Linked DNA regions of Tamandua tetradactyla. The protein of the gene in region 2 interacts with the protein of the main gene of each other region in a biochemical or structural test. Links are inferred from orthologs where the notes say so. Each region holds a gene or a part of one and is shown on either strand. Other genes may lie near its edges. The genes, in order: PRKCA, H1-5, HPF1 and CCNA1.

Evidence for each region.
Region 1: of the proteins of H1-5 (region 2) and PRKCA, one has a biochemical effect on the other in vitro, tested with the Homo sapiens proteins (2 studies listed by BioGRID). The link is inferred for Tamandua tetradactyla from reciprocal best matches to the Homo sapiens genes H1-5 and PRKCA.
Region 3: the proteins of H1-5 (region 2) and HPF1 form a complex in vitro, tested with the Homo sapiens proteins (2 studies listed by BioGRID). The link is inferred for Tamandua tetradactyla from reciprocal best matches to the Homo sapiens genes H1-5 and HPF1.
Region 4: of the proteins of H1-5 (region 2) and CCNA1, one has a biochemical effect on the other in vitro, tested with the Homo sapiens proteins (2 studies listed by BioGRID). The link is inferred for Tamandua tetradactyla from reciprocal best matches to the Homo sapiens genes H1-5 and CCNA1.

The regions. Positions count from the first base shown.
Region 1 is NC_135332.1:7,717,182-7,725,132, forward strand, and holds the start of PRKCA (protein kinase C alpha type), read right to left. Parts: upstream 3,004-7,951; 5' UTR 2,936-3,003; coding exon 2,763-2,935; intron 1-2,762. UniProt on the Homo sapiens protein: Calcium-activated, phospholipid- and diacylglycerol (DAG)-dependent serine/threonine-protein kinase that is involved in positive and negative regulation of cell proliferation, apoptosis, differentiation, migration and adhesion, tumorigenesis, cardiac hypertrophy, angiogenesis, platelet function and inflammation, by directly phosphorylating targets such as RAF1, BCL2, CSPG4, TNNT2/CTNT, or activating signaling cascade involving MAPK1/3 (ERK1/2) and RAP1GAP.
Region 2 is NC_135351.1:30,971,342-30,976,962, reverse strand, and holds H1-5 (histone H1.5), read left to right. Parts: upstream 1-4,315; 5' UTR 4,316-4,378; coding exon 4,379-5,059; 3' UTR 5,060-5,119; downstream 5,120-5,621. Other genes in the region: histone H4, read left to right, coding at 1-139; histone H3.1, read left to right, coding at 1,007-1,417. UniProt on the Homo sapiens protein: Histone H1 protein binds to linker DNA between nucleosomes forming the macromolecular structure known as the chromatin fiber. Histones H1 are necessary for the condensation of nucleosome chains into higher-order structured fibers.
Region 3 is NC_135352.1:43,136,976-43,143,948, reverse strand, and holds the start of HPF1 (histone PARylation factor 1), read right to left. Parts: upstream 3,023-6,973; 5' UTR 2,972-3,022; coding exon 2,891-2,971; intron 354-2,890; coding exon 194-353; intron 1-193. UniProt on the Homo sapiens protein: Cofactor for serine ADP-ribosylation that confers serine specificity on PARP1 and PARP2 and plays a key role in DNA damage response.
Region 4 is NC_135330.1:103,227,370-103,235,289, reverse strand, and holds the start of CCNA1 (cyclin-A1), read left to right. Parts: upstream 1-4,903; 5' UTR 4,904-5,023; intron 5,024-5,516; exon of another isoform or gene 5,517-5,683; intron 5,684-6,053; 5' UTR 6,054-6,065; coding exon 6,066-6,236; intron 6,237-7,920. UniProt on the Homo sapiens protein: May be involved in the control of the cell cycle at the G1/S (start) and G2/M (mitosis) transitions. May primarily function in the control of the germline meiotic cell cycle and additionally in the control of mitotic cell cycle in some somatic cells.

The DNA.
Region 1 (7,951 bases), on a different chromosome or scaffold from region 2:
GTACAAATTCAACTTTGGAAAAAAAAATCTGTCTTGGCCTCATAGCATCACTGAACTATATCACTATTTCAAGCTTCTTTCTAATTTTGTACCCTATGTTATACCTGCTTAAAATTAAAACAAGAATATAATCGTGTATTCAAAGTTGTTGGCTATAATATTTAAGTCAGAAAAAGGAATTAATGAAAAAAAACAAGGAAGTGACTTAATTCTGCTCCTAAAGACCAACTGAAAATCTTCTTCCTGAAGACAACTAAAAAGTGGTTTCTGTTTGTTTAAAATATTATGGGTCTAGAAATTGCCAAACAGCATCAGTCTTACCATTTAAAAGGAATTAGATGTGACAAAAAAAAAATCATTTCCATGTATTGCATTTGAGATCATGATGATCTAATTTTTATTGAGAACCAGTAGTATTCAAAGCACACAATGGCTATTTCGTTCCTTAAATTGCTTCAGAGAACCTACTCTCTGAGCAGAGAACACTGACATGGACATTAAATTGCAAACACTGTTCCTCTAGAATGGCCTGCATTAAAATTTTCACAAAAGATTATTGGTTATAATCCCTTATGTCAAGTAACATTTTAAATTTGCACAGCACTTCACATACCTTTATAATTAACTCAGAATCACCACCACCACCACCACCACCAACCCTGCCAAATAAAGCATGTCTCAATCCAAAACATTTAGCTTTTTTTAATGACTGTGCTTTAAGATTTAAGTGAAACTTATAAATCAAGAACCCACAGAAACAATGAAGAAAAAAAAAGAAAACTGAAAAATTAAAGCCAGAATTTTCTGACAGATGTTTTCCTGGCACTTGCATGTGACTGCTGTAGAATGAGGTGAGAAGCATCGCAAAGGGGTTACTCTGGGGAAGACCTGTATTTCCACTTCACAGCACACCTGGCGACCTGGCTGGCCACAGCGGTTCACCAAGGGGCAGATCCTTCAGGGCAACTGACAGTGGGAAGACAGCTAGCTTGGGTAGGGTGCAAGTCTGCTCTCTAACTCACGTACTTTCTGCAAAAGTCATCCACACTCTGAGATAACTGCTCCCTTTAAAGGGAACCTCACAGTTGACAGGGAAGACAGAAGACCTGCGCTGAACTACATGCTTCTTCCCCTTGCTCTGACACTCCAACAATTTATTGTCAAAAGCCTTATCTACAATTACCTACTCCTAGGAGCACAACTGCTTCATATGCTGACTGCACAGCGGTGACCATTCACAGACGTGACTGTGCTTTTCCAAAGTGTACCTTTGAGCTGATTTGTCAAAGGGAAAGGAAAATTAAGCACTCAATTAGCACTGCATTTTTAGGGCTTGCTTGCCCTTTCAGACACCTTCCCCCAGGAGTGATGGACACAGACAAATCCACCCAAACCTTCTCCCTAGTGCCCCTGTAAATAACAAGATACACATGCACACAGCTGGCTGTTGGCGGGGTACACAATGGGGCACTGACATCCAGCTCAATTTCCAGGCCCACAAAAGCAGGGAGCTAAGGAAACCTAGCCACAGTTCTGGCTTAGGAGGAGCGTCCTACACCCACCAACAAGAGATAGAAGAGGTAGGGTGCCAGGCAACCTAAGAGAAAAACACAGCTACTGCTCCTCAAACTAGTGGACCTGGAGTTTCAGATTTCTAAACTTTTTTTTTCCGGGGGGGGGGGTGCGGGGGAGGGTAGGGAGGAAGAACACAGACCTTTTGAGAATCAGACCAAAACTATAATCCTCTCACCGGTATTAAAAAAAAAAAAAAAAAAAAAAAAAGCACAATTAAGTTCTGCCGGGTTCAGAGACCCCTAATACCATCCATTTGTCAACTCCCCCCAAGAATACTTGAGTACACTGGAAATTACTTGAACTCTGACACCTTTAGCCGTTACGGTTATTTGTCTTAAGTAAGGCCTCTGTCCTCATCAACAGGGTTACAGGTCTAACCTCCTGTTGACAGGGTCTATTTTAAATGACTCCCTCTGCCCTTCTGCCATTCGCCTGCTCGGTTTTAATCCCCCTCCCCCACTGCAAGCTTTCAACAGATTGCTGCCTCTGGACGCCTCTCTACGGTTCACCTCGAAAAGTCAAAGTCTCTCGGTGCCCAGCAGATACCAGCTACAGTAGGCAGCGATCCAAAGTTCCAGCGGCGTCCCAGCCCGCTGGGAACCGCAAGCCCACAGCCCCGAACGCGCCCCGCCCGGCTGCCCAACAACTTGGACCGCGCGCAGCGCCGCCGCCGCGGCCGCCGCTCCCGGGTTAGTCCGAGGGCGTGTTCCTCCGGGAAACTCTTCCCCTCGAAAGTCTCCTCTTTTTCATGTCCCGGTCTTTGCTCACACCCGACAAACCAGGGCTCCGCGATCTGCGCGAAGGGCCTGTACGCCTGGGGAGGGGGGTGGGAGTCATGGCCCCGTGCTGGGGGGGGGGGGGGAAGGGGGGTGGTCAATGTCACGGCCGCTCCCGCCAGCCTCTCTCCTGCGGCAGGGGGTGTGTGGCCGGGGTGGTGACTTCCCCAGGGGTCCGGACCGCGCGTGTGTCAGGGGCCGGGAGCGCGTGTGGCATTCGGGCGAGAGTTCGCACTCACGCGGGCTCTCCAAGTTCCCCGGACTTGGAGGACCCGAGCGCGGATCCCCGGGACCAAGGGACGCTAAGGGGACACTTGTCCCCGGACCTGGGCGCCCGGAGAGAGGTCCGGGGGCGCCCCGAGCGCGTCCCCGGGGGTGCCCGTCCCGCGTTCCGGCCCCGCGCGCACCTACCAGATGAAGTCGGTGCAGTGGCTGCAGAAGGTGGGCTGCTTGAAGAAGCGGGCGATGAATTTGTGGTCCTTCACCTCGTGCACGTTCTTCTGCCTCAGCGCCCCTTTGCGGGCGAACCGGTTGGCCACGTCCTGAGACGCCGTGGAGTCGTTGGCCGAGTAAACGTCAGCCATGGTCCCCCCCAACCACCTCTTGCCTCCGCCGGGGAGCAGCAGCCAAGGAGGGTTGGGGTGGGCGGGGGCGGACGGGGGAAGGGCAGCGGGGCCGTGGGCGACCCCGGGCGGGGGGCGCGAGCCGGCGGCCGGGGTAGCGGCGAGGAGGCGCGGCGGCGGCGGCGGCCGGACGGGCGGCGGCCAGGGAGAGCCGGGCCGGAGCGGCGCAGAGCGGGAGCCGGAGCCGGAGCCGCTCGCTAGCTGGCTGGCCCCACGCTCACTGACAGCCCGGCGCCGGGCGCTCGCGCTTCCTACTCGCGGCGGCAGAGGCGGCGCGGAGTGGCGCCGCCCACCGCGCATGCCCCGAGTGCGAGAGCCGCGCGTGCGAGTGTGGCCGCGCGTGGGGAGCGCGCGCGGGCGTGGGGGCGCGCGGAACAGGAGCGCGCGCGGGCGTGGGGGCGCGCGTGGGGGGTGTGGCCGCGGCGTTGAGCTGCGCTGAGCCGGGAGGACGCGGCCGCGGGTGGACTCGGCGCCTCCGTGTTTTCGCTGCAGCCCGGAAAGGGGAGGAGTCGGCAGCGACCCGGGAAGGGCCGGCTCGAATTTGGGAGCTGAGGAGGCAGCGGCCGGGGGCGGGCCGTTCTTCGCCGCCGCCTTGCTTTTCCTCCCTTTTTCTCCCCTTCCTCTGCCGGGCTCTCGTCGCTCTCGCCTACTCCTCCTCTTCATTCTCCTCTCTTCTTCCGCTCCCTTCGCTCTGCCTTCTCCTCTCATCATCTTCCTCCTCCCACTCTCTCCTGCTCAGCTCTCTCCTCCTCGCCCCGCGCTGTCTCCTCTCCCGGATCGGAGTTCTGCGCCTCTGCTGCGTGGCGGAAAGGAACCCCGAGTTGCGGTATGGGGCTCCACGCACTGCCTCCTTCACCCGGCCCTCGGTGCGACCCGCTCGGACCTGCACTCTCCCTTGGCCCCCCGCCCCCCACACACACACCTGGGTCGTCCCCCGTTTCCCCGGACCCACCGGTATTTCCAAGGCACGATGCCCATGTTTTATCAACTTGTACCAGTTTGAGGTTTTACAAGGCTGAAATGTCACTCTAATTGTGTGTGCCCTAAAATGCCGAACCCCCAGACCAGAATGCTTTTTATAGTTGGCAGGAGTTAGGGAGCAATTTCAAGTAATTGAGCACTGATCCTTCAGCCTAGCTTCAATTGCTATTGACCTATATTTCACCTACTTATTGTATAAACATCTAACATGTATTTCAGATATTATCAGCAGGTAGGAAAGTTAATGAACTTGTCCCAGTTATTTATCCCGTTATTCACTGGTTACAACACCTACAATGTTGATTATTAGGCTTTCTTGGTTTTGTAAGAAACTCCAGAACTTTCATTTAGAAATCACTTTTCATCCTAAACTAATTACTGCAATACTGATAGGTGCAGAGTGCAACCAGTCCATTTGTAAATTGCCAAAAAAAAAAAAAAAAAAATGCTTGAATAGGGCAGCTGGCATGGATATGCAAAGGACACGCATGTGACTGTACCAAGTAATCACTTGCTGAGGATTTATTAGTTCTGCCCCAAGGATGCTAAGATACATAAGAGAAAGAGACATCTTTCATCATGTCATTACGCTTTATTTCATTGTCAGATTCACTAAATTCACCAAACAACTTCATGAACTGAAGACATCAAGACAGAGAATGAGCTGTGTGATCCCTTAAGATGTTAAAGTATCAACTTTTCTAAGATATGTACTATCTTCTTAAGTCATGGTTAGTTATTGCTTAATAAATTTGTAAATTGGGGGGGTGCAAGGGTAGTTCAATGGTAGAATTCTCACCTGCCATGTGGGAGACCCGGATTCGATTCCTGGCCCATGCATTTCCCAAACAAACAAGCAAACAAATGAAAAACCAAACAAAAACACAATATTCAACAAATGGTGCTGCTATACGGGGATAGTCACATGGAAAAATAATGAAATGTGACCCCCACCATACAGCATACAAAAAAAATTGTAAATCAAATACAGCGCAGAGTAAAGTGCATGATTCTTTCCTTATAACCATCATTATCTAAGTCAGTGGTCATTACGCATTTTATAAAAATAAACTTCTTTCTATTTCCCTGGAGTATTGATATAAGGATGGAAGAAAAATTGGGGAGAGGTGGAAGGTGGGGTTGCTGAGGTTGGAGAATGGGAAACCCTGAGCAAAGTAATAGAGATTAAGGGCTAAGAACCAAGTGGGCCTTGGCGGTCTCCTGTATGAGCAGAGTCTCTGCCCTTAGCAGTCAGTGGACCAGAGGGAGAAAATGTCTCTTTCCTTTCAGGTTATTGCTTTGCTTTCCTGCCTATTGATATTGTTGTCCCTTGAGGGTACAGGGAGAAATGACTAAACAGAAGACATCTGATTGATAGTTGGCTGGACAGGAGCATATCAGTTCCCTATATCTTAGCCCAGTTGGGTGGCTGGGGTGGTGGACATGGAGCTGGGGAATTACCAAGCAGTGTCACCTACCCCTCCCCAACAGAGACTGATGGGAAAGTGAACCATACTTGGTCCCTGAAGCTCACCTGAGAAGTCCCCATAGCATAATTAAAATGGTGGGGATTAAGGAAAGGAGAACTGCAGGTGAGAGTGGTCAACCAGTCATGGGCCTTGGTGATTTTTTTTAGAGCCTGCTTTTCATGGCGAAATTGCAAGAAAGAACAGGAAATGGTAGACTGAACGCAGACTGTCAGAATCCTCCTCTGTCTCCTCTATCTTTGAGGAACCAACTTAACATTCTTTGCAGAGATGTGGCCTGGAGATTGGAGATTGGGATCAAAGTCAGAGCATCAAACTGATGACTCTGAAAAAAGAGTGGCTCACATAAAACCAATAACTTCAAGTTATAACTGTTAAATATGTTACCCTATATAGAAAGCTGGTCTATTTTTCAAATAGATGAGGCTGTTTTCAAGTTTGGCAATAGGAATTGTTTAAGGGTGGAAAAACCTTGATTTTGAGGTTTATAGGAACCAAACTCATTTAAAGGCATTGTGTTCAAGGTTTTTGTGAGGGAAGGAAACTGGTGGAATGCTTGGGTAGGTGGTCATTAGCATCACAGTAGTTGGCAGGTCTCAAGAAATGGATAGAGACAGGGATCTAACTGTGAAGCAGAAGTCAAGAGACAGGGAACATTATTGGGTAAGCTTAGGGTGCAGGGTCAGAGTTCATGGTGGGTGGGCAAGTCAGAAGCCCTGGTCAGAAGTTAGCACCAAGGCTACCAGTTAAATTTGTGCAGATTGCTAACAACACAAGAGCACCCAGCCAAGAGATCGAGTAGAGGCTGAAATCCAGTTCATACATTCCTCACCAAGCCATACGTCTTTGGGCCTCTGTCTGTCCAGAAGGGGTACCTTTTTTCTAATTCACTCCAAGATACCATTTGGGCTGGTGGAGACCCTGGTGAACATCAAGGTTGCCTCTGGTTGGTTGTATTTCCCTCTACTGTGGGCAGCCTCCATCGGGTATAGGATTGGGGACTTACAGTCCAAGCATACCTTTGTCCAGGACCCCTTCTCAGTCTCCACCATCTCATAGCATCACGGGCCACACAGGGGTTCAAGCGGAAAACTGAGATATCATTCCTATTTTGCCTTTTATCTCAATCCCACTTCTAATCCACAAGGAAATTCTGTTGACTCTACATCCAAGACTGACTTCACATCTGTCCATGGCCCCCACCCAAATCCAAGCTCCATCATCTCATTCCTAGGCCACTGCAGTCGTCACCTAATTGGTCTTCCTGCTTCTGTTCTTGCCCTTCCCAGTTCAGATTTCCCAGGTAGCCATCTGTTAAAAATGTAGCTAACTGTTTGAATACAATTTATGTATTGAATACATGGAAAGACATATCCTCTTCTTTTATAGGAAGAGACATAGAAAGTCAATTTCCCTTAATCTATTTACAAATAGGTTTTTTTTTCCGAAATAGGAACATGATTCAAAAGTCTAAATGAAAAAAAACTTGTAGGAATAGATATACTACCAGATATTAATCCAGAAGAATAAGAGTAACAAGTACAATGGAAAATAGAGGGAAGTGTCATGAACAGATAGCTCCAAAAAGAGGAAATGCAAATAGTTCTTCAAATACGTAAAGATGCTCAACCTCATTCATAGCAAGATAAAGGCAAATGAAGACCAAATTATAACCCCATGGAGACCTCACAGGTGGGCACATATAAAATTTGTGATAGCACACTGTTTCAGGAAGAGTATGGGAATCAAACAGTTTTATACATCATTGGTAGGACTTTATATTGGCACAAATATGATAAAAAGCAATTTGGCAATAACTATCAGAATTTGAAATGCATCAAACCCTTTGCCCTAGCAACTCCACTTATAAGAATGTATCTCACAAATATACATGCACATGTGCAAAACGGCATATGTATAAAGGTATTATAGCATTCATTTAAATAGCTAGTGATTGCTAAATTCATACAAATACAAGGTTGGATGGTCTTTCTCAGCCTGCATTATGTAGGAAGCAGGCTGATTTCCTCTTCTTCCTCCAAAATATGACAGATGTAATTTCCCTTGGCTTGCAGTGACTATAAATTAGGAAGCAAGAGATGGCATATGGAGGAAGTATACAAAAATTATCCTGGAGTTAGCATTTTATACTTAAAACATCACTCAAGATCACTTCAGCCTTTAGCCAAGGGCATAATGCCTGGATTCTCTGAAAATGCCAGATCCAAAAGGACCCAAGTAACTCCTCATAGCTTTCCAATCACTTTTAAATTAATTGAAATGGGAACCAGTACTTAACTGTTATCTTATGATGCTTTTCTAAACCTTTTTGAGGAAAGGTATCTGCCCAGGTGTCCTGAATCTTTTAACAAGAACCAGTGGGCTCTATGCCCACTATGTATTACGATATTGAGCTTTTTGACGTTTTATTGTGAATTTTTTCAAACATTTGTCAAAACAAAGAGCTTAAGATAAAAAATCCCATGTACCTATCACACAGCTTCAGCAA
Region 2 (5,621 bases):
GCTGAAGGTGTTCCTGGAGAACGTGATCCGCGACGCCGTCACCTACACCGAGCACGCCAAGCGCAAGACCGTCACCGCCATGGACGTGGTCTATGCGCTCAAGCGCCAGGGCCGAACCCTCTATGGCTTCGGTGGCTAGGCTACAGCCCTTAAATAAGTCTTAACAAAACTAAAGGCCCTTTTTAGGGCCCCCCACGAAATCTGTGAAAAGAGTTACGTGCACTTTTTAAACTCTATACCTGATTGCGTTGGTTTAATACGGGATTTTACATAAAACCCAAGGTAATGGAGAAGTCAACTATGGTTTTCCCGGTCAAAATCAAGCACTTAGACGATTTCAGGGGTAAATTCTACCGGCGGGCAAGTTGGGTCGACGACAGCCAAATCCACTGTCACGTTTTATTCACATAGCCGGGGGGCATTTATGTTGTGTTTTTAAGTTCTATCACTCTATAAAGTCAAACGTAAATACGTGGCAACAGCTTCAAAGCCAATGAAGTCCCCTTTTACAGGAAAGTTGGCTGGCCGTGGCTTTAACAGTGCCTTGGGGTGGTTCTTAAGTACGCTTAAAATTTAATACTATAGGTATAGCGCTTAGCGACTCGGATTTCAAAGTACTTGAACCCCCTAATTAAACTGATCTCGTTTCCTTAACACGTTACTCAATAATGTTTTGTGGCAGGAAATCATTCAGGTCACTTTCTATTTAAAAAAAGCGCTAGGCGCTTTTAGATTCTCAAACCAACAACACACGTAATTCTGACGCGTTAAAAAAAAAAAAACCTACAGGCTTTGTTAAGAGGTAGGTAACTTTCTTTGTAGACTTTACCAGACTGAAATGGAAGTGGGAAATATTTCCCATTCATTAAGGGATTGAACAGAGAACCAATCAGGTGGGTGAGCTAGGTCAGTAGAAATCTGTCGAATCAGAACGCGACAGTCGCTATAAATACTGGGACTAACATCCTTCAGTCTCACTTCTGTGCGACTGTTACTCTTCTCCGTTATGGCTCGTACTAAGCAGACAGCTCGCAAGTCCACGGGCGGCAAGGCGCCGCGCAAGCAGCTGGCTACCAAGGCAGCCCGCAAGAGCGCCCCCGCCACGGGCGGCGTGAAGAAGCCGCACCGCTACCGGCCCGGCACCGTGGCGCTGCGCGAGATCCGCCGCTACCAAAAGTCCACCGAGCTGTTGATCCGCAAGCTGCCGTTCCAGCGGCTGGTGCGCGAGATCGCGCAGGACTTCAAGACCGACCTGCGCTTCCAGAGTTCGGCCGTGATGGCGCTGCAGGAGGCGTGCGAGGCCTACCTGGTGGGGCTGTTCGAGGACACCAACCTGTGCGCCATCCACGCCAAGCGCGTCACCATCATGCCCAAGGACATCCAGCTCGCCCGCCGTATCCGTGGCGAGAGGGCTTAAGTATACGCAGTGTTTCACTATAGTGCCGTCCAAAAGGCTCTTTTAAGAGCCCCTCAATTGTCAAGAAAGGAGTTGTTTATACCTTGTCACTACAAGCTGGACTCAACACCCAGTGCCACGTGGATTAAACTAAGAGGCTGAGTACCGATCAAACGTTGACATGGCTATTTCCGGCAGGGCAATTGGCACCAAGTCTGTAAATGGATAAATGCGTTCTGCATTCATGAGGTGGTATTAGGTTTTTTTTTTAACGCCTTAGCAAACTGAAAGGCTCCCATCCCTTCCTTAGTTTTATCTTGCCTATCCTTTACCGTTAACTCCCTCTCCTACGTTCCATTGTCCAGGTGTAGTTAAATTTAAATACTCGCTCCAGTCTTTCACAATACTCTTGTGATTGCTGTGACTCTCAAGTAGCAGCAGACAAGCAAAGATTGCATTTGAAAGCAGTTACTGGTCTCAGTAATCTCAACACTTAACCTAACACATTAGGACCTGCTTATTAGCCTGACTCAATATTTTTAGTTGTCTTGAAAGTTTCTATGTTCTTAACATATGATTATTAATTACCTAATTGTGTGCTACTTTCCTTTTAGGGTACACCCTTTTAACTCCAGGAGGTGGCAGTTAATGTCAGTGCAATTTTTTCTTGAGTGTTCTCTGGTAGGTTAATCTTCTAGGCCTTTGTTTTAACCCTAGTTCATACATCAGCCTAACAAAGGAGGCTTGTATTCCACCCACTGGCTCACTCAAGGTTTTTTTGGAATATGGAAATTGATTCTGCAAAAAGAAATAGATAGGACCAGCCAGCAGCATCTTCCTATAGATTCTTTAGAACTTAGAGCTCCTTTAGGGGCTGTCAGTTAGTTGTATGGTCAGCTTGATGCTGCTTCTTCCAAAGTTCATATATGGTCCCCCTCCCTAACCGCCCCCCCCCTATATTTTTCTACCATAATAGATCTGGAGCCTAGTAATCTAGACTCCAGCCCCATTGCTGCCAGCTGCTAGCTAAATATCTCTGGAAAAGTCACTCATTCTCTCTGTGTGTCTCATCTTATAAAGCCGTAAAATGTGCAAATGAATTAAAACCTGTAGAACATAGTTCATAGCACTTAGCAAATACTCATTAAATGTTAGCTGTTATTGTTGTTCCCAAACCCACCCCTGGGAGCATGGAGTTTTGAGATTTTTTTTTTCCTACCCCCGGATCCTTTGAAAATATTGTGATTGAACAGTGAAAAATACTTGATAAGAAAATTTCTTGCTTCGATTCCCTTTTCCTTAATTCTTGATTTGCATGGTCCTGAAAAAGGCCTGCAGCAATATACTATGATCTGTCTCTGTGTGGAGTTTGAAACAGCACAAAGACCAGTTAGCAAATATTTTAGGTTTTACAAGTCACACATGGTCTGTGTCGCTTATTCTTTCGGTTTGTGTGTGTGTTTAATGAGACTTTTAAAATGTAAAAACCATTCTTAGCTTGAGGGCCACATGAAAATGGGTCACTGCCTGGATTTGGCCCCAAAACCATAGTTTGCTATCTGCTCCTGGAGTTCCTGGAAAGAAGAAAAGGGGGATTGACCATTCAGCCATTCTTCCACAGTCGTACAGTTTTTCACTGGCAAGAACTAAGTGACTGTCAATTGCATTAGAGATCTAAATTATCATCTGATCTTCCTCATCAACCGAAATCAAAATCCTGTCCATTTTTCTCCCAAATATATATCAGACTCTTGCACCATCCATTGCAACCTCATAATCATTGCATCCATTCCTTTGGGGGGGGGGCGGGGAGATGCTTTCATGAATTATCCTGAACTTCTATAACTTCTAGTCCCTCAATATCCAAACCACCCTTCTCTCAGTAGTCAGATACTTTTCCATAATACAAGTCTATCCCTGATTAAATAGACAGAAATATCCCACTGGAGTCTCCTGGCTGCTTGGACAAGAGCTTTAAGACTCATTAAGTTTTGAGCTAAGGAGTCAGTGTCTGAGCACTGGGAAAAAAATGTCTTGTGAGCCTGACAGGGTCCAAGGTCATCTAAACAGTTGGTGCTTTATTCTGAGACTACTGCGAGCCCTTGAATAGTTTTCAGCAGGTTTGAGGGTTTTTGCTTAAAGCAAATCATCTGGCTATGCATTTTTTGTCATGGTAATGGCTTTGGTCAACTAAAGAGAAAGCATCTCAGCCAGTTCACATACCAAATTCAAAAGCAATTTGAATCCAGGTTTTTGGACTCTGAAGCCAGAGCTATGTGCACTCATCCTACTGCAATATGGAAGATGTCATTCTGGCAACTGACCTTTTTCAAGCTCCTAAGTTTCATTCTCGAAGGACACCAGCACATGGACACTCCTAGGAGGCAGAACCAAGTTTTAAAGAAGGGTCTAATGCAGTTAATTTGGGACTATAGGCAACCAGCTGCCCTGGCCTGTGTTACTTGGTACACTTGGAAACAAAGTTTCTCCCCAAACTAAGGAACACTGTGTCTTTCCTCCCGCAAAAATCAAAGGCCAAACCTATGGAAAAATTATCTTAGATAACTTTTGCTGGATACTTGGTAGAAATTTCTTGCAACATGCCACTAACTAGCAACTTGTGTTCAGCCACGTGGGTTCATATGAAAACCTGAAAGGATTTTCAGAAATATCTTTTATCAGTTGCGCACGGTTCATGAAAACAAAAACAAGTGTGTGAATCTTGAGGCTGTTTTCTTCCTTTGGAACTTAAAAGCGTCAAATTCTGTACTGCTGTTTTCAGCATTTAATAAAATTTTGGAGACTAACAAACACAACTTGGGAGTCCAACCCCGAGCGGCGAGAGCCCGAGGGCGGCGGATTGGACGCTCCACCAATCACACGGCAGCGTCGGCTTATATAAGCCCTGGGCAGGCCTGGGCCAGCATTGCTGAACTTGTTCGTTCTCGGTATAGAATCTCTTCTTTAGTTCATCCTCTCGCCATGTCGGAAACAGCTCCTGCTGAGACCGCCGCCCCGGCGCCGGTGGAGAAGTCTCCTGCTAAGAAAAAGGCGACTAAGAAGGCGGCAGGCGGCGGCGCTGCTAAACGCAAAGCGACCGGCCCCCCGGTGTCTGAGCTGATCACTAAGGCGGTAGCCGCTTCCAAAGAGCGCAATGGTCTCTCCTTGGCCGCGCTCAAGAAGGCGCTGGCGGCCGGCGGCTACGATGTGGAGAAGAACAACAGCCGCATCAAGTTGGGACTCAAGAGCCTGGTGAGTAAGGGCACGCTGGTGCAGACCAAGGGCACCGGCGCCTCCGGTTCCTTCAAACTCAACAAAAAGGCGGCCTCTGGAGAAGCCAAACCTAAGGCCAAGAAGGCCGGTGCGGCTAAGGCTAAGAAGCCCGCCGGAACCACGCCTAAGAAGCCCAAAAAGGCTGCGGGCGCGAAGAAGGCGGTGAAGAAGACACCGAAGAAGGCCAAGAAGCCGGCGGCGTCAGGCGTCAAGAAAGTAGCCAAGAGTCCTAAGAAGGCCAAAGCTGCCGCCAAGCCGAAGAAGGCGGCCAAGAGCCCAGCCAAGCCTAAGGCCGTGAAGCCGAAAGCGGCTAAACCTAAGGCCCCTAAGCCCAAGGCTGCCAAACCCAAAGCTGCAAAGGCTAAGAAGGCGGCTCCCAAGAAGAAGTAGGAACCTGGTGTGATAGAAAGTGAATAAAGCCCCAAAGGCTCTTTTCAGAGCCACCCAAAGGTCTCATGAAAAAGCTGTGCACTATAATACCAATCCTCAAACCTCCTGTCTACCTCCTTGATGAATAAACCTTCATCAGTGAGTACCAGCTCCTAGGGGGGCTTGTGTGAACAATAGTAACCCTGCAGCTCTGTCCACATGACATTTCTTTTAAGATTGTGGGACAGTACCCCTTCCGGCTACTTCCAAATATTTATTTGGTTCTCTTAATATTTGTTACATCCTATGTCAGAGGTGCAAATTTGGTCATTTAGTAAAACAGCCTGCCTGTTTATAATAAATTGGTTTAGGCAGAGCAAAGCGCCCCGTACGGTAAGGAGTTAGCAGTTTACTACACTGTTTCCCTGCAAAAAATTCTCTTAATGTAAATTGTCTGCAACCTACTTTCGACCTGATGCTCTTTACGGGGCAGCTACGAAAAGAGAAACTAATTTTAAAAACCCGCGCCATACTTTTTGATTGGTCGAGTGTTATTCTGGCAGTTGACGACTCACTTGTATGA
Region 3 (6,973 bases), on a different chromosome or scaffold from region 2:
CAATGCATTTCATAAACTTATTTACCTTTGCCAATATAACAGGTGACATATTATAGCTTTAATTTATATTTCTCTTATTAGAAATATCTTTGAAAATGCTCCTTTCTAAGATCCGTTTACATCATTGGTCCAGTGTCCTACCAAGTTATCTTTTCCATTTGTAGGAGCAGGAGATGATTCTGGAGCAACTCACCAGCTGGCTTTTCATGATCAAGTTCTTCACAGAACTTCCAAAAGTGATAGAAATCTTCAGGCAGAGACAATTTATAATGATTTTCTACTTCTTTTCGAAGCTCAACAGAGACATCAGCTTCACAGGACTTACTTTTCTTCACATCAACTGTTTTTTCACACTGAAAATCAGCATATAAAATGTTAGTTCTCTAAAGAGAAAGCCAACAATTTTTCCTACATAACAATTTTATTCGTTCTTATTCATCCAACTCTACCAGATATATATAGTTTCTATAACATTCTATAAACAGTGTATCTGAGAAAAATCTTGGGATTTTCTTAGGCAAAGAAAAAAGGAAAGAATAGATCATTATATATTATGGTCAAGAGGGACCTATGCATCAGGTCGTTAAATATATTTCTCAAACATAACGGAAATATGGAAAAATAAAAGTACAAAAATAAAGGTAAAGACCAACAAAAGAAGTGGGAGAAGGCAGGTTTGCCCTCTTTTGTCATCATGCCTTTTGTTTAGACATATTCAATGATCACACCAGGAGATTGGGCATGAGGATTTACCAGCTAAAAAAATAAAAAGAAAAGTTGTTTCTTCAGCAAATTTCAACCAGAGTTATCTGGGCTAATCACTACAATTATTTCTCAGACTTCTATCTAAAAGCAGTGACCTTCCTTTTGACTTTCCAACTGAAGTTAGTAAAACAGCACTAAATTTGCACCTAAACCTCAATTTTTTTTTAACTTTGGGACTAGATTACAAACTTACTTTGTATCACCTAATCACTAGAGGTTCATTGTTTAAGCATGCTAGATTCCATAACACTAATAGATATGTGATAACTTTCTGTAAAGATTAGTTGGCAGCTGCATGCCTTGAGTTTTGTAAGCAACAATCTGTTTTTTCTTTCTAGGGACTTAGAGCCTTTCTTTCTGGATTTTGCCCCATAGGGGATACTGAGCAATACCTGGAGACAATTTTGGTTGTCCCAAATGGAGGAGAAGGAGTCAGTTATTAACCTAGAAGCCAGGGTTACTGCTAAACGTCGTACAATACATAGGATAGCTCCCAAAACAAACTTAGCCGATCTAAAATGCCAACAGTGCAGAAGTTGAGAAATCCTGAATCACAGATTTCTTATATTCTTCTGTTTTCTTCAGTAAGCTCAAGTTTGGTGATGTCATTCTAGTATAATGCAGATTCCATGAAATGTTTATGGTCAGAAGACACACATTTACGAATATTCATGGCAACAATGCTTCTAAGAGTATTAAGTTACCTTCCCTAGGTCCCTAACTACAAAGTGGCAGAGCAGGGATTTAAACCCAGGTGGGCTGGCTTAAATTCTCAATCACTTCATCACGCTGCTTCTCCAACCACAAATGAACAAATAGGAACACATGGAGTCCTGACCTCTCCTGGCTCAAATTTTAAATGTTAGAAAGAAAAACCTTATCTGACTTACTGAAAGGCAATTTTGCATAATGGTCAGTTTTCCATAGCTCCAAGGCCTGGTCTGACTCCTGGTTCCGCTATTTCCCAACCATCTTACCTGTGGCAAGTCAAACAACCTGTGCGTAATATTGTTTGCATACATACCGAAAAGGCACTTTTAATAGCTATATCGTTAATCACAGAGCCGTGGTGAGAAATACTATATGCAAAAATACAGGGAACACTGCCTAGCACACAGCATATAAACGCTGGCCATTATTAAGTGTTAGCTATAGCTAGTCTTTATTTATAGACTCGCTTTCATTTTTGGTATAGTGCCCTTAATTAAACCTGTATTCTGTCTAAGCAATTCTTCACTGTGCTTTCAGAGAGAATTTTTCCAGTTCTACCTACCTCACACACTAGTTCAACATCCCCAAATCCCTAAAAGTTAGAATTTAGGATAGGTGTCGCCATCAGAGGCTACACTTTACCCTACGGCTCCTGGAAGGCGTGACCCAATATTAAGAACGCCTAGGACCACAGCCTTCTAACAAGGAAGTCTTGTAACAATGTTGCACCCTGTTGTTTATAACACAGGTAGAGCAATTTAGCTAAAACCTCAAATAACTTCCTCCCTGCTTAACCCCCTTATTCCTCCTGCCCTGGCTACAGAACCTCTAAGATCTTGTGAAGGTGAGAAAATGCACGGTTTTGCCCCCACGCCCACCCGAGCGCCTTCCTGCCGTGGCGCTCTCCCGGCGCCTGAGCACCGCCTCCCCGTCCCGACTCGGGGCTCCTTCCTTCTCTCCGCCCGAAGCGCCTTCAACTTATTCTTCAAGAAACATTTCGAGCAGGCGTCCCCCAAGCTCTTTCCAACACCCCCGAGGGCCTGTAAAACCGTCCCTTGGGGTTTCCACGGCACTGCCCACCCGCTAGCGTTCCCATTCCGGACAGAAGGCAGAGCCACACGCCACCGTCGGGGCCGTCTCCCGGCCGGGCTTTGCGCCGCGGCCCGAACGAAGGACGCGTCAACCGCCGCGCGCCTTCCCCACGTCCCCGGGAGCGCGGCGGACGGCAGAAGCGAGGCCTCCGCGGCCAGCTCCCAGCAGAGCGGGACGGGGCCCGGGGGAGGCCGAGCACCGTACACAGCCAGCGCTCAAGCACCACTGAATGAGAGATCAGCCGTCCCCCGGGCCCAGGCTGACAAGGCGCCCCGCGGAGTCCGCACAGCCCGCACAGCCCGCACAGCCCCTCGGGCAGTACCTGCGGCCCCGCCCCGCCGGGCCTGCGCTTCCCGCCACCGCCGACCATCTCACGGCAGCGGCGCAAACAAGCCAGAGCCATCCGCCGCTTCCGGCGCCGCTAACTGCTTCCGGGGTCAAGGCCGGCCACGCTCCTTGCGGCACGGCCGCGCATTTTAACGGGGAGGCCCCGCCCCACCTTGTGCTCGCTCCCCTCCGCCCGCGCCTCCTTCCCGCCGCGTCCCTCCGCCCCGCCTCGCTCTGGCTCCGCGCTCGCGCGGAAACCCGCGCCTCGCCCTGTCCAACCCATCTCGTCCCCGCCCATCTCACCTCGTCCCCGTCCAACCTCGCTCCGCCTCAACCCACCTCGGCCCCGCCCCGGCCCCGCCCCTGCCCCGCCCCTGCCCCGCCCCTGCCCAACCCGCCTCGGCCCCGCCTCAACCCACCTCGGCCCTACCCCGCCCAACCCGCCTCGGTCCCGCCCCGCCCCGCCCAACCCGCCTCGGCCCCGCCTCGGCCCCGCCCCGCCCAACCCGCCTCGGCCCCGCCCCGCCCAACCCGCCTCGGCCCCGCCTCGGCCCGGCCCCGCCTCGGCCCCGCCCCGCCCAATCCGCCTCGGCCCCGCCCCGCCCAATCCGCCTCGGCCCCGCCCCGCCCAATCCGCCTCGGCCCCGCCCCGCCCCGCTCTGCCCAACCCGCCTCGGCCCCGCCCCGCCCAACCCGCCTCTGTCCCGCCTCGGCCCCGCCCCCGCCCAACCCGCCTCAGCCCGCTCCGCCTCGCTCCGCCTCAACCCGCCTCGGCCCCGCCCCACCCAACCCGCCTCTGTCCCGCCTCGGTCCCGCCCCCGCCCAACCTGCCTCAGCCCCGCCCCCGCCCAACCCGCCCAACCCGCCTCAGCCCGCTCCGCCTCGCTCCGCCTCAACTCGCCTCGGCCCCGCCCCGCCCAACCCGCCTCTGTTCCGCCTCGGCCCCGCCCCACCCAACCCGCCTCTGTCCCGCCTCGGCCCCGCCCCGCCCAACCCGCCTCGGCCCCGCCCCCGCCCAACCGCCTCGGCCCCGCCCCCGCCCAACCCGCCTCAGCCCGCTCCGCCTCGCTCCGCCTCAACTCGCCTCGGCCCCGCCCCGCCCAACCCGCCTCTGTTCCGCCTCGGCCCCGCTCCCGCCCAACCCGCCTCAGCCCGCTCCGCCTCGCTCCGCCTCAACCCGCCTCGGCCCCGCCCCGCTCAACCCGCCTCGGCCCCGCCTCGCTCCGCCCAACCCGCCTCGCCCCTTCCGGGTCTTCCTTTTCCTACATCTGCCGAGCTCATGTGTGGAGCCCGTCCTCAGGAGTTCATGCGAAATGCGGCACGCCAGGAGCTCTTTGCGACCTTGCGTGTGGGTAACTGCCTTTGTCCTGGCGAGGGTGGCGTTTGAGGTTGAGCAGAATTTCCGCTCGTGATGCTGAAGGCACCCGCACCGTGGCCCCGCGTCCTGCAGTCTCCAGCATCGCCCTGGGGAAGGCTCGCAGCGTTCTGACCCCTGCTCCTTGGCCGGTGACCCAGGTCTTCATATGCAACCTGATTTTGTTCTTGTTTCTTTTTGTCTCGAGAAGTTGTAGGATCTTCCCCTATTCTTGCTGCTCTAAGATAGGACATGTCTGGCCGGTGGGTCTGTTCTCATTTCTATCACTATCACCCTTGTAACTTGTGTTTTTCAGGTCTGGCAAGTTTTCTGGAGCTATTTATATGGTTATTTCCTCTCCACTAGTTTATGTTCTGTTCTGTGCATTTGGGGGATATTATTTAGTTGCTAGCTTCGCCTTACCTACTGTATCTTCTTTTTCTGGAATTCCTGTTATTCAGATGCTGTACCTTCTTGACAGCTGTTTTTCCTTATCAGTCCCATTTCTTATCTCTGTCTTTTTATTCTATTTTCTATGTGATTTTCTCAATTTTATTAGAGGATTCTTGTATCAAATCATTTGATTTCTTTTATCATACTTGAATTTGTAAGGACTCTTCATGCTGTGTTCTTTTTATAGCATATTGTTCTTTTTTTTCATGGATACATCTTCTCTTGTCTCTGAAAATATAAACTTTAGGGTTTCCAGAATGCTGTCTTCATAACTCTGCATTGACCCTTTAACCATTTTTTGTTGTGAAATATAACATACATTCAGAAAAGGGATAGATTTCAAAGTACATTGTAATAAGTAGCTATACAACAAATCTCAAAGTATAGTGTGCCGGTTGGAAAGGACTATGTACCCAAGGAAAGCCATGGTTTAGTCCTAATTCCATCTTTTGGAGACAGCCATTTCTTTTAAACCCTAACCAGCATTGTAGTGGAAACTTGATTAGATCCTCTCCACAGAGATGTGCCCTGCCTATTCCAGGTGGGTCTTGATTAGCTTACTGGAACCCTTTAAAAAGGAAACATTTTGGAGAAAGCTTCAGCATAACATGATCCATGAGACCATGAGAGCTGCAGAGCCCATGCAGCCAGAGACCTTTGGAGATAAAGAAGGAACACACTCCTGGGGGAGCTTCATGAAACAAGGAGTCTGCAGAGACAGCTAGCAGACGTCACCATGTTCACCAAGTGCCTTTCCAGTTGGGCGAGAAACCCTGAATGATGCCGGCCTTTTTTTTTTTTTTTTCTCCTATTATTTATTTTTATTCCATATGCTCTACTCGTCTGTTGACAAGGTAGATAAAAGGAACATCAGACACAAGGTTTTCACAATCACACAGTCACATTGTGAAAGCTGTATCATTATTCAATCATCATCAAGAAACATGGCTACTGGAACACAGCTCTACATTTTCAGGCAGTTCCCTCCAGCCTCTCCACTACATCTTGACTAACAAGGTGATATCTACTTAGTGTGTAAGAATAACCTCCAGGATAAACTCTCAACTCTGTTTGGAATCTCTCAGCCATTGGCACTTTGTCTCATTTCACTCTTCCCCTTTTTGGTTGAGAAGGTTTTCTCAATCTCTTGATGCTGAGTCTCAGCTCATTCTAGGATTTCTGTCCCACGTTGCCAGGAAGGTCCACACCCCTGGGAGTCATGACCCACGTAGACAGGGAAAAGGTGGTGAGTTTGCGTGTTGTGTTGGCTGGAGAGAGAGGCCACATCTGAGCAACAAAAGAGGTTTTCTTGGAGGTGACACTTAGGCCTAATTTTAAGTAGGCTTGACCCATCCTTTGTGGGGTTAAGTTTCATATGACTGGGGGCTTGGCCTATAGCTTTGGTTGTCCACACTGCTTGTGAGAGTATCAAGAATTCAACTTGGGGAGGTTGAATTTTCCCCCGTTCTCACCATTCCCCAAAGGGGACTTTACAAATACTTTTCCATTCACTGATCAAATCACTCTGGGATTTGTGACATCAGCCTTTCTTGAGCGAAGGTAACCTCTTGTTGGTGCCTTAATTTGGATGTTTTTATAAACTTGCTTTCATTTGGACATTTTCACAACTTTAGAACTGTATACTTGCAACTTAGACTAAATTCCCCCTTTTAAAAGCCATTCTGTTTCTGGTATATTGCTTTCCAGCAGCTTGCAAACTAGAACAAATTGTATGAGTTATAGTTCCCCAAGTTCAGGCACTTACTTCTAACTGCTCCAAGACACTGGAGGCTAAAAAGAAATATCAATATAACAATCCAGCAGTCATACTCATTTGTTAAATCCTATCTTCTCTGTTCAACTCCTCCCTCTCACTTGCTCCTTTCTCAATCTTTAGGGATATTTGGGCAATGACCATCACCGACATTATGGGGTAGGGGGATGCAACTGATTGATGTTGTTGAAGACACTGGTAACTCTGGGTTTCAGGACTTATCTGGCCTAGGAACCATCTGGAGGTTTTAGGTTTCTGAGAAATAAATGAGTGAAACTATTATAGAGTCTCAGACAGAGCCCTGGTTATTCTATAGGGTTTACAGAAATAATGTTTGGAGCTTGGTATACTGTGGCAATTTGCAATATGTGGCTGATGTTTGCATAAGAGTGACTTCCAGAATGACCTCTCAGCTCTATTTGGACTCTCTTAACCACTGAAACCTTATTTTGTTACATCTCTTTTTCCCCTTTTGGTCAAGGAGGCATTGTCAATCC
Region 4 (7,920 bases), on a different chromosome or scaffold from region 2:
TGCTTCACAGAACTGATCGAACAATAGATTTGCACAGAAAAAAACTGATATGAGCTGGATTATTCATTTAAAGTGTATAATTATTAAATTGCAACTGCCTTTAATGATGAGATGACCTCACTTCAATATATGATTTATCGGACTAGTTTGAGACTCATGAAAGATAGCACAAAATTCAAATTAGATGGATTTTCAGCTAAAGTCTGACAACTCAAAACTTCATTTGATACATTTCCACGATTTAAGCCATTCTGGCACCACCGGCACTCTGCAACTCGTTTTACCCTTGGTATGGACTCTTGGAGTGGCTCATGCCACAGCGCCTGACTCTGCAACCCAGGTGCTGGTGGCATCAATGCACCTCTAGCTGGGCACATTTCTAGGGACTGACCCATGGGAACTGAGGGCCAAGACCTTTCTCTCACGCAGTAGCGCAGGAGGCTGGCTTCTCCAGGAGACAGTTGCTGGTGGATGCTGTAAAGGGGCCAGTGGAGACAGTCCTGAGGGGTATTTTGGACATCACAATCTACTGATTCCTTGGAAGGTGCGGGGTGAAAACTCAACTGAAAGCTCTTGTTCTTTAGGCTTCCCTTTCTAGAATGTATGTAGATTATACCACCTGCCCTGTTTGTTAACTTTTATTTATTTTTCATTATCAGATCTGGGTTCTGCTTCCAAATATCCAGAGCAACATGCATTGCTTCTTTTCTCTGACTTCCAGTGGCTACCTTCTATTCACCTGCACCCACCCTGTTGAAATAAACACTAATTTAGCTACACTGTTATTATCTAGTTACCTCTCTGGGTGTCCTGGCTGGAACAAAGCCTTCTTCATTGTTCTCCTCATACACGGCTGCTGCCTGGCATATGATGGGTGCACCAAACATTATTTGTAAAATGAATGAATATTAGATTTTGGCTAATCTCATGTATGCATTCAAACTATTTTCACTCTATAGAGATGACTGTTTGGCATGTTCTAAATGGAAACTTACTTCACCGTTATGTAAATTTGTGGCTGCATCTCGTTAGTAAGTGGGGCATGCTTGGTCCACATAGCCTTCTGGAGTTATGGGCTAAGATGCTGTGAATGTCCCGCCACCCCCACTGGTCCTTCCGTTTTACATGTACACCTAAGATGGACTAAGGCATGAACATGCAAAACATGCCCCTAAATGTACCTCTGCCCTGAAATAAAATCAGCTCTTCTACTTTTTCATCTCTTTCAACCCCACGCCAAAAATCAACTTGATTTCATGCTGATTAATGAAAAGCGAAAGGCTTGATCAGGAGGCTAATTACTAGGTACAATGAGCAAATGTGATCGAAGTAATAACTGCTTCTGAAATGCCAGGTAAATTGCTGGCAAACAGAAAAGACTGTCTTTGAATTGTAATTTGGGGGTTAGGTGGGGAAGAGGAGTTGATTTTAATAGGACTACTGGGTTTTAAAAAAACAAGGAAAGAATTCAGCTGTCACCTCTGGTATGGAAATTAATACTAGCGTCAAAATTAGCTGAGCACTGAATATCAAGTAGGAAGTGCTGCCCAAATTAATTGAAATTAAAAAGATGCTTTATATATATAACTTCATTAAGCCAAATATTTTAGATATTAAAGAAAATTGCATTTACAATTAAATGTACAATTCACTTCCCAGTATAGTGTACAGTCAATACATAATTTATGTAAAACTTGTAGAAATTTAAAAATCTATTAACCTTGCACTCCAATCCTGCTTTCCCCAGCATAGCAAAATTATAATTATGCATCTCATTGCAACTATGTAATTTGTGAAAAAGTCCTTTCTGCTCCTGTTTTTCTTAATTCTATTGCCAAGTTTTAAGTTTAGTTAGATATTTTATATAAAACTTGTGCACATATTCATCAGTTAAGTTTGTATCAAAAAAATGGTTTGAAGTTTTTTTATGCAGCTAAAGTCAAGAAAGTCACACTTTTACACAAGCTATACAAGCTACAGAAACATTTGAATTTATATGTACACACATATATAAATATATACAAGTATCAGTTTATCTAAATCAGTCTCCAATTTAAGATCTGACTGGAGAGCTCTGATTTAATATGGAATTCTAAAGCAGCACAAAGAGAAAACAATCATAAGTCATTTCTCATTTCCCTTTGGCAAGTTTCACAATATGCGTGGAGAGAGAAGAGATAATGTTGACATGTGGTAGTAATAGTAATAATTTTATTTTTTCTATTTTATTATTTTAACAATAATAATAGTTATTTCATGCATATAAAGATGTATTGGCATGATGATGAATATGCAACTATGTGATGATACTGTGAATTACTGATTATGTATGTAGAACGGAATGATCAAAATTGGAATGTTTGCGTTTGTTATGTGTTTTTTGGTATTAAAAAAATAAAATAAAAATTAAAAAAAAAAGATGTATTGGGCTTCAGCTATTGGTCCGAGATGATGATATACAAGGAAAAAGGTATGAAAAAGGTTCCAGCTGGTTGACAGTTACGTTTTAAAGGCTATCTTTCCAACTGAAGCTAGCATATAGAGGAGGACACTTCTGATCACGATTTGAGTGGAAACACCCAACTTTAAGGGGCTGTCCCAACAGGAACTTTCCTGTCACTACCCCTTTCCCATCTCGAGCTTTAATCCCAGGAAAAAGATTCAACATGGCAAGCTTCAAGCACAAACTTTGCACTGGCTTCTCTGTTTCAGAGGAAAAGCAAAGGGTGGGAGGGTTTGGTTAGGTTTGCCGGAGGAAACCGGATCGAAAGGCAAGTCACAGGGGTCAGGGCGTGTGACCTGATCTCTGCCAAAGCCACTTGGACCAACTTGCTCCTGAGACCCAGACCAGGTAACCACGGAGGCCCCAGCGTCCCCGAAATCACAACGGCTCCGCCAGGTGGAAGTGGGGTGAAGGCCAGGCAAGGAGCAGACAGAAAAGCTCCTTTTTTACCCCAGAGAGCCATCTGGCAAAGCGCCAACACCGAGGTCTCTTGGCGCTGGACACCAAGCTGTTTCCACATCTCTGGGCTGCCTTCTCACCCAAAGGCACGGGAATTTGGGGTGCGAGGGGATCACTGATTCCCCGCGACTGCAACCCGTGACCGACGTGCAGAAGTTGGATTCTTACCGCACAGAATGGATGTCTGCGCTCCTTGCGCACGCAGCACCCAAGCCCAAGCGCGCTCCGGCGTCCTCTCATCTGACCCCCGCCCCCCAGCGGCTGCCACCCACGCCCTATGGGAATACCTATATTTTCCCCAAAACAATGCACACCCAGTTCGCGGGATGAAAACTTAATAAAGAACACTTGGACATTTGGAATGCTAAGAAGGACCAGGACGTGCATTCCAAATAAGACAGAAACAAACCCTTGTTTGTCGCAGTTATCTACTTCAGAGAATCAGGGATAGGAGCTTCTGATTTTAAGAATAAACCACTCTGAGGTGGCGACAGAGAGGCGGCCGGCCGCCACCGAACTTGAATGTTCTTTTGAAGACAGTTTCCCCCGCCCCTCCTGGGGTTAAAACCTGGGAAAAAACGCCCTTCTGCGTTGACTCCTTTTCGCCTGGTGCCAGTACCTGCGTCTTTGAATTTTTGACACGGCCTGGGAAGCACGCCGGGTGTTAGTTGGAGGGTTATCCGGTATATTAATGCCTTATTGATAATGGCAGAACATCCACAACTACTGGACACAACTCAGATTTTAAGTGGTGATATTTCTCTTCCGTCTGCTCCTATTCTGAGTGCAGATGGAACCCAACAGCATGGAATCAGAGTTTATGAAGCTATTAAAAATGATCACTTCAACTGCATTCTTTGTGATTTGCACATGTGAAGATTTCCTGAAGCTTTATTTTCTGTGATAGACCATTGTAAAATACCTGAAAGAAGCATGACTCTTACAGGTGCTAATTACTATTCATCTTTAAAGAGTGTTCTCAGTAATTAAACTTTAGTTCAGTTATTTGTTAATATGATTGAGTGTATATCATACATAAGCACACTTATAGTTTGCATAATGTATTGCAAAATTTAAATAACCTGACAGTATTTGTCATCCATATAACTTTTGAAACTTAGAATTAAGTCAATAATTTCTTTTTAGTTGATCCTATCATGTGGTGAAATGTTATCTAGTCTCAATATTTTTTGTGTGAATGTACAATATAAGAACTAATATCATATACAATATAAAACTAATGTGCATGCATTTTAACAGCATAATGAATTGACTTAGACATATTACAACAATTTGTATAAGAAAGCTTATTCTGAAAGTGGTTAAAAGGGAAATGTTATATTGAATATACGGTAATAGGATAAAATTTTTAAAAATCCATAAAACTTGGTGATGAATACACAACTATGTGATGATACTGTGAACCATTGATTGTATACTTTGAATGGACTGTATGGTGTGAGGATTTCTCAATAAAAATATTAAATAAAAATAAACCACTCCCGGCTGAACACAGCAGTGACAATTTTGTACCTGCAGGGATGTGCACCCACAGATTCACACCTATGGGTTGTATGTATATGTCTTCAATCTTTCATCCATCTAGGAAAGTTTTGGATTCCTTCACCTGTACGGTGGGCCTTCCAATTCAAGGGCCCTCCCCACGTGGCCAGCCCACCTCCCACTTCCGGGCCTCGCCAGTGTCTCCCCCTCCCCACTTCCCCATCTCCCCAACGTCCCCAGCCTCATCGCTGCCACCCGCGTTCCTTCCTCTTCCTGGGCCACTCTCTTTGCGCTCCCGGACCCTTCGCGCCATGGCGACGGCAGCGGTCCGGGAAGGCCTCCCGTGGGGGCCGCGGGCACCCCGTGTGCCCCGAAACTCCAGATCCCTTCCGTGGCCCGCCGCGCACCATGTCCCGGGCCCCAGGCGGGCCAGGCGTGGCCCCGGGAGCGCGCAGGCCGGGGAGTGACCGAAGGCGGGCCGCCACCATGAACAGAGCGCCGCGGTTCCACCCCGGGGTCTGCCCGCCACCCCCGGCTGCGGTCTGCGAGGACGCCTAGGTGCGTGGCCAGCGTTGGGGAGCGAGCGGCGCCCTCGGGCCGGAGCGGTCGGTGGGGCCGCGTCGCTCTCCCGAGCCAGAGTTCGCAGGAGCTGGCCGCGGAGAGACGTTGGCGGGAGGAGTTCGCGGCTGTTGGGGGAACCGGTCCCGGGGCCACCGCGGGCCTGGCCATCGCGGGCCGGATCCTGCCTCCCGCCCGGGCCGGACGCGCCGGCGAGACGCGCAGCGGGTGCCGGGTGCCGTGGCCCGCCCGGGACAGCCCGGCCGAGCAGCAGGAGCTGGGCGTGCCCGTTGACCCCGGCGAGGTGGCAGCCCCGGGCGCGTCGGGTGAAGGGGTCGCGATGGAGACGCGGGCCCCGCGTGCGCCCGCTGCGGTTGGCATGGGAGCGGCCACGCGAGTCCCAGCGACGCCGCCAATTGGGGCCCGAGCGGAGCGGGTGGGGGGACAGGCAGGCCCGCTCAGCGCCCGGGTCGCTGCGGGAGTCGGCGCCCCGCCGGAACCCAAGCCCCGCCCACGCCCCGCCCCCTCGGGCGCCCCTGCCGCCCTGCTCCTGGTGGGCGCTTGCTGATTGTTCCAGACACACACCTCCACCTAACACCTCCATCTAACACACCTCCATCTAACGCCGAGGCGAGCGGGGCTGTCGGGGCCTCCAAGCAGGTTTGGGGGCCTCAGTCCGGTGGGAGGAGGGCTGCGGAGCAGCACCTGCGTGGCACCTGTGTAGGGGACACCCATTCCCGCAGTGCTGTTTCCTGGGCCTTTGGTTGGGAATCAGGGGGCATGAGCTTAGGGCAGGGAGAGGCTTGTTGGTTTTGACCCCAGGTTACCTGGGAATTGCTCAGTGGTCCTGCCTCCAGCAATTGGAGGTTTCCAGGGCTCTGATGCCTGGTGCTGCTGCTCGCGTCCTTCCAGCCCTTCCAGCTGCTAGGGGAGCCTAGCCTCGATGCTCTGCCTCCTGGCGATCCGCTGCGCCCTTGGAGCCGGGTGGGGGCGGTTGGCTAACTCGGTCGCCCCTCCTCTCTCCTGGCAGCCACCAGTGGTGATGGAGGGCAGGCATCAGAACAGCTCCAGGAGCCGTATCATCCTGGCTCCAGCAACCCTTGGCCCCGACGCCTGTCAGATGGTCACCAGGGCCCAGCTCGGTCAGGACGCCCCCCAGAGGACCGTGCTGGGGGTGCTCACTGAGAACGGGCAGTACAGGACCTGGGGCCAGGTGAGAGCAGCCCTGGAGCCCCGTGGAGCCCCGAGGACTGCCCTGGAGGGTTTCCAACCCTGAGTCATGGGGCTAGTGGGAAACCCAGTTTCAAGGGTGGCCTCGTCGGGCCCCATTGCCAGCTAGAAATAGTGAACAACCTCCTTTGTTATTTTTCCAAATTTAACTGAATCTAAGGATCATTTGTTTTAAGTATATGTGACTAATTCCAGTTCTAAGCTAAAAAAAAATGTGTATTGACAAAACCATGGATCTGGGTTCTTTCAAGCCTGCTGGGGAAGGGGAAGGGCGGGACGGGGTGGGGGGGCGCAGCCCTGCACAACCTTGGCTTGTTCACCTTAGACAGGGTTGGAGACAGATCGGTTCTGCCGACTGGATTCACAACGAAGTCTGTGCTTTGAGAGCAGCTGCCTCCATGCTCTGGCCAGAGCACTGGGCTACCAAGCAGTGTGCTGGTAGCAGGCCTGGCTGATCTGACTATAAGTTCATCCTTAACTGATTTCAGTTCAGACCCTTACAGGACACCTAAGAATGAATCCTGGAACAGGGAAATGCTTCCCCAAGTCTGTTATCAGACAGGCCCTTTCATAGTGGTGCCTTAAAAACCTGTGTTGCACATCTGAGACAGAAGCCAGGAGCTTCCCAGGCAGCTTCCATTTTAGAGTTGAGAAATTTTGAAAGGCTTGAGAAAGACCAAGACCCCCCACCCACCCAAATACATATATGCATTTTATATATACAGTGGAGGATAATTAGAAGCCCATCTATCAATTCTTTGTCATCTGCCTTTTGTGGTATCTGACCAGTGGACGGAAATAACTAAAATGTACTGCTCAAAGCTTTGGAGAAACTTGAGTGAATGTGATTTTTTAAAAAAATCAGAGTCTATTATTTTATTTGTACATTGCTCCATTTCTCACAGCAATAAATGAGATCACTTACTATGAAAACAGAGGCGTGAGTTGGATTTAGCCCTATTAAGTCAAATATATGACAAATCAAAATGTGAAAAAAATCACCACATTTAAATTATTTGTTGTATCACCAAAACAAAAGAAAACATTAGTCCATTTTGGATAGAGAGCAAAGACTCTTTACAATGCTTTACTTAAGTCTTGGTCCTCCTTTGCAGAACCAAACCAGTGGCTCTTTCTTGCATCCACTCTAGCAAAAGCATGATTTTCTTGGGTGTAAGTGATCCCTGAAAGCCCAAAGAAGTCTGGCACCAAGCCAGGCATTTGGTATATTCAATCACATGATGAGAGAAGCCAGTGTGCCCATTTGCCCATTTTATATATTGCCAAAACAGGCCCAGGTGCTATGCTAAAGAATGACTCTGGTTTTCAGAAAACTACAATCTACTTACACAATGATCTCTAGTCTCTGAATTTGATGAAGAAAGGTTCTGATTTTTTTTTAACCCACAAACAAATCACTTTAATTCTTTTGCTTTTTTTTAATTTTAAACATTTATTTGTGATATAAATAACTCCTTAATTGCAATTAATCAGTTTTAACTATTCTGTTGGCAATTTGTCACAAATAAATGAAAGAACGTCTTTATAATTATACTATAATTATATATGGTTTACATTATGGTTCACAGTTTGTGTTGTATAGTACTATTTTGCTGTTTTAAATTTTTATTCCAGTAACACATAGACACCTAACATTTCCCCCTTTA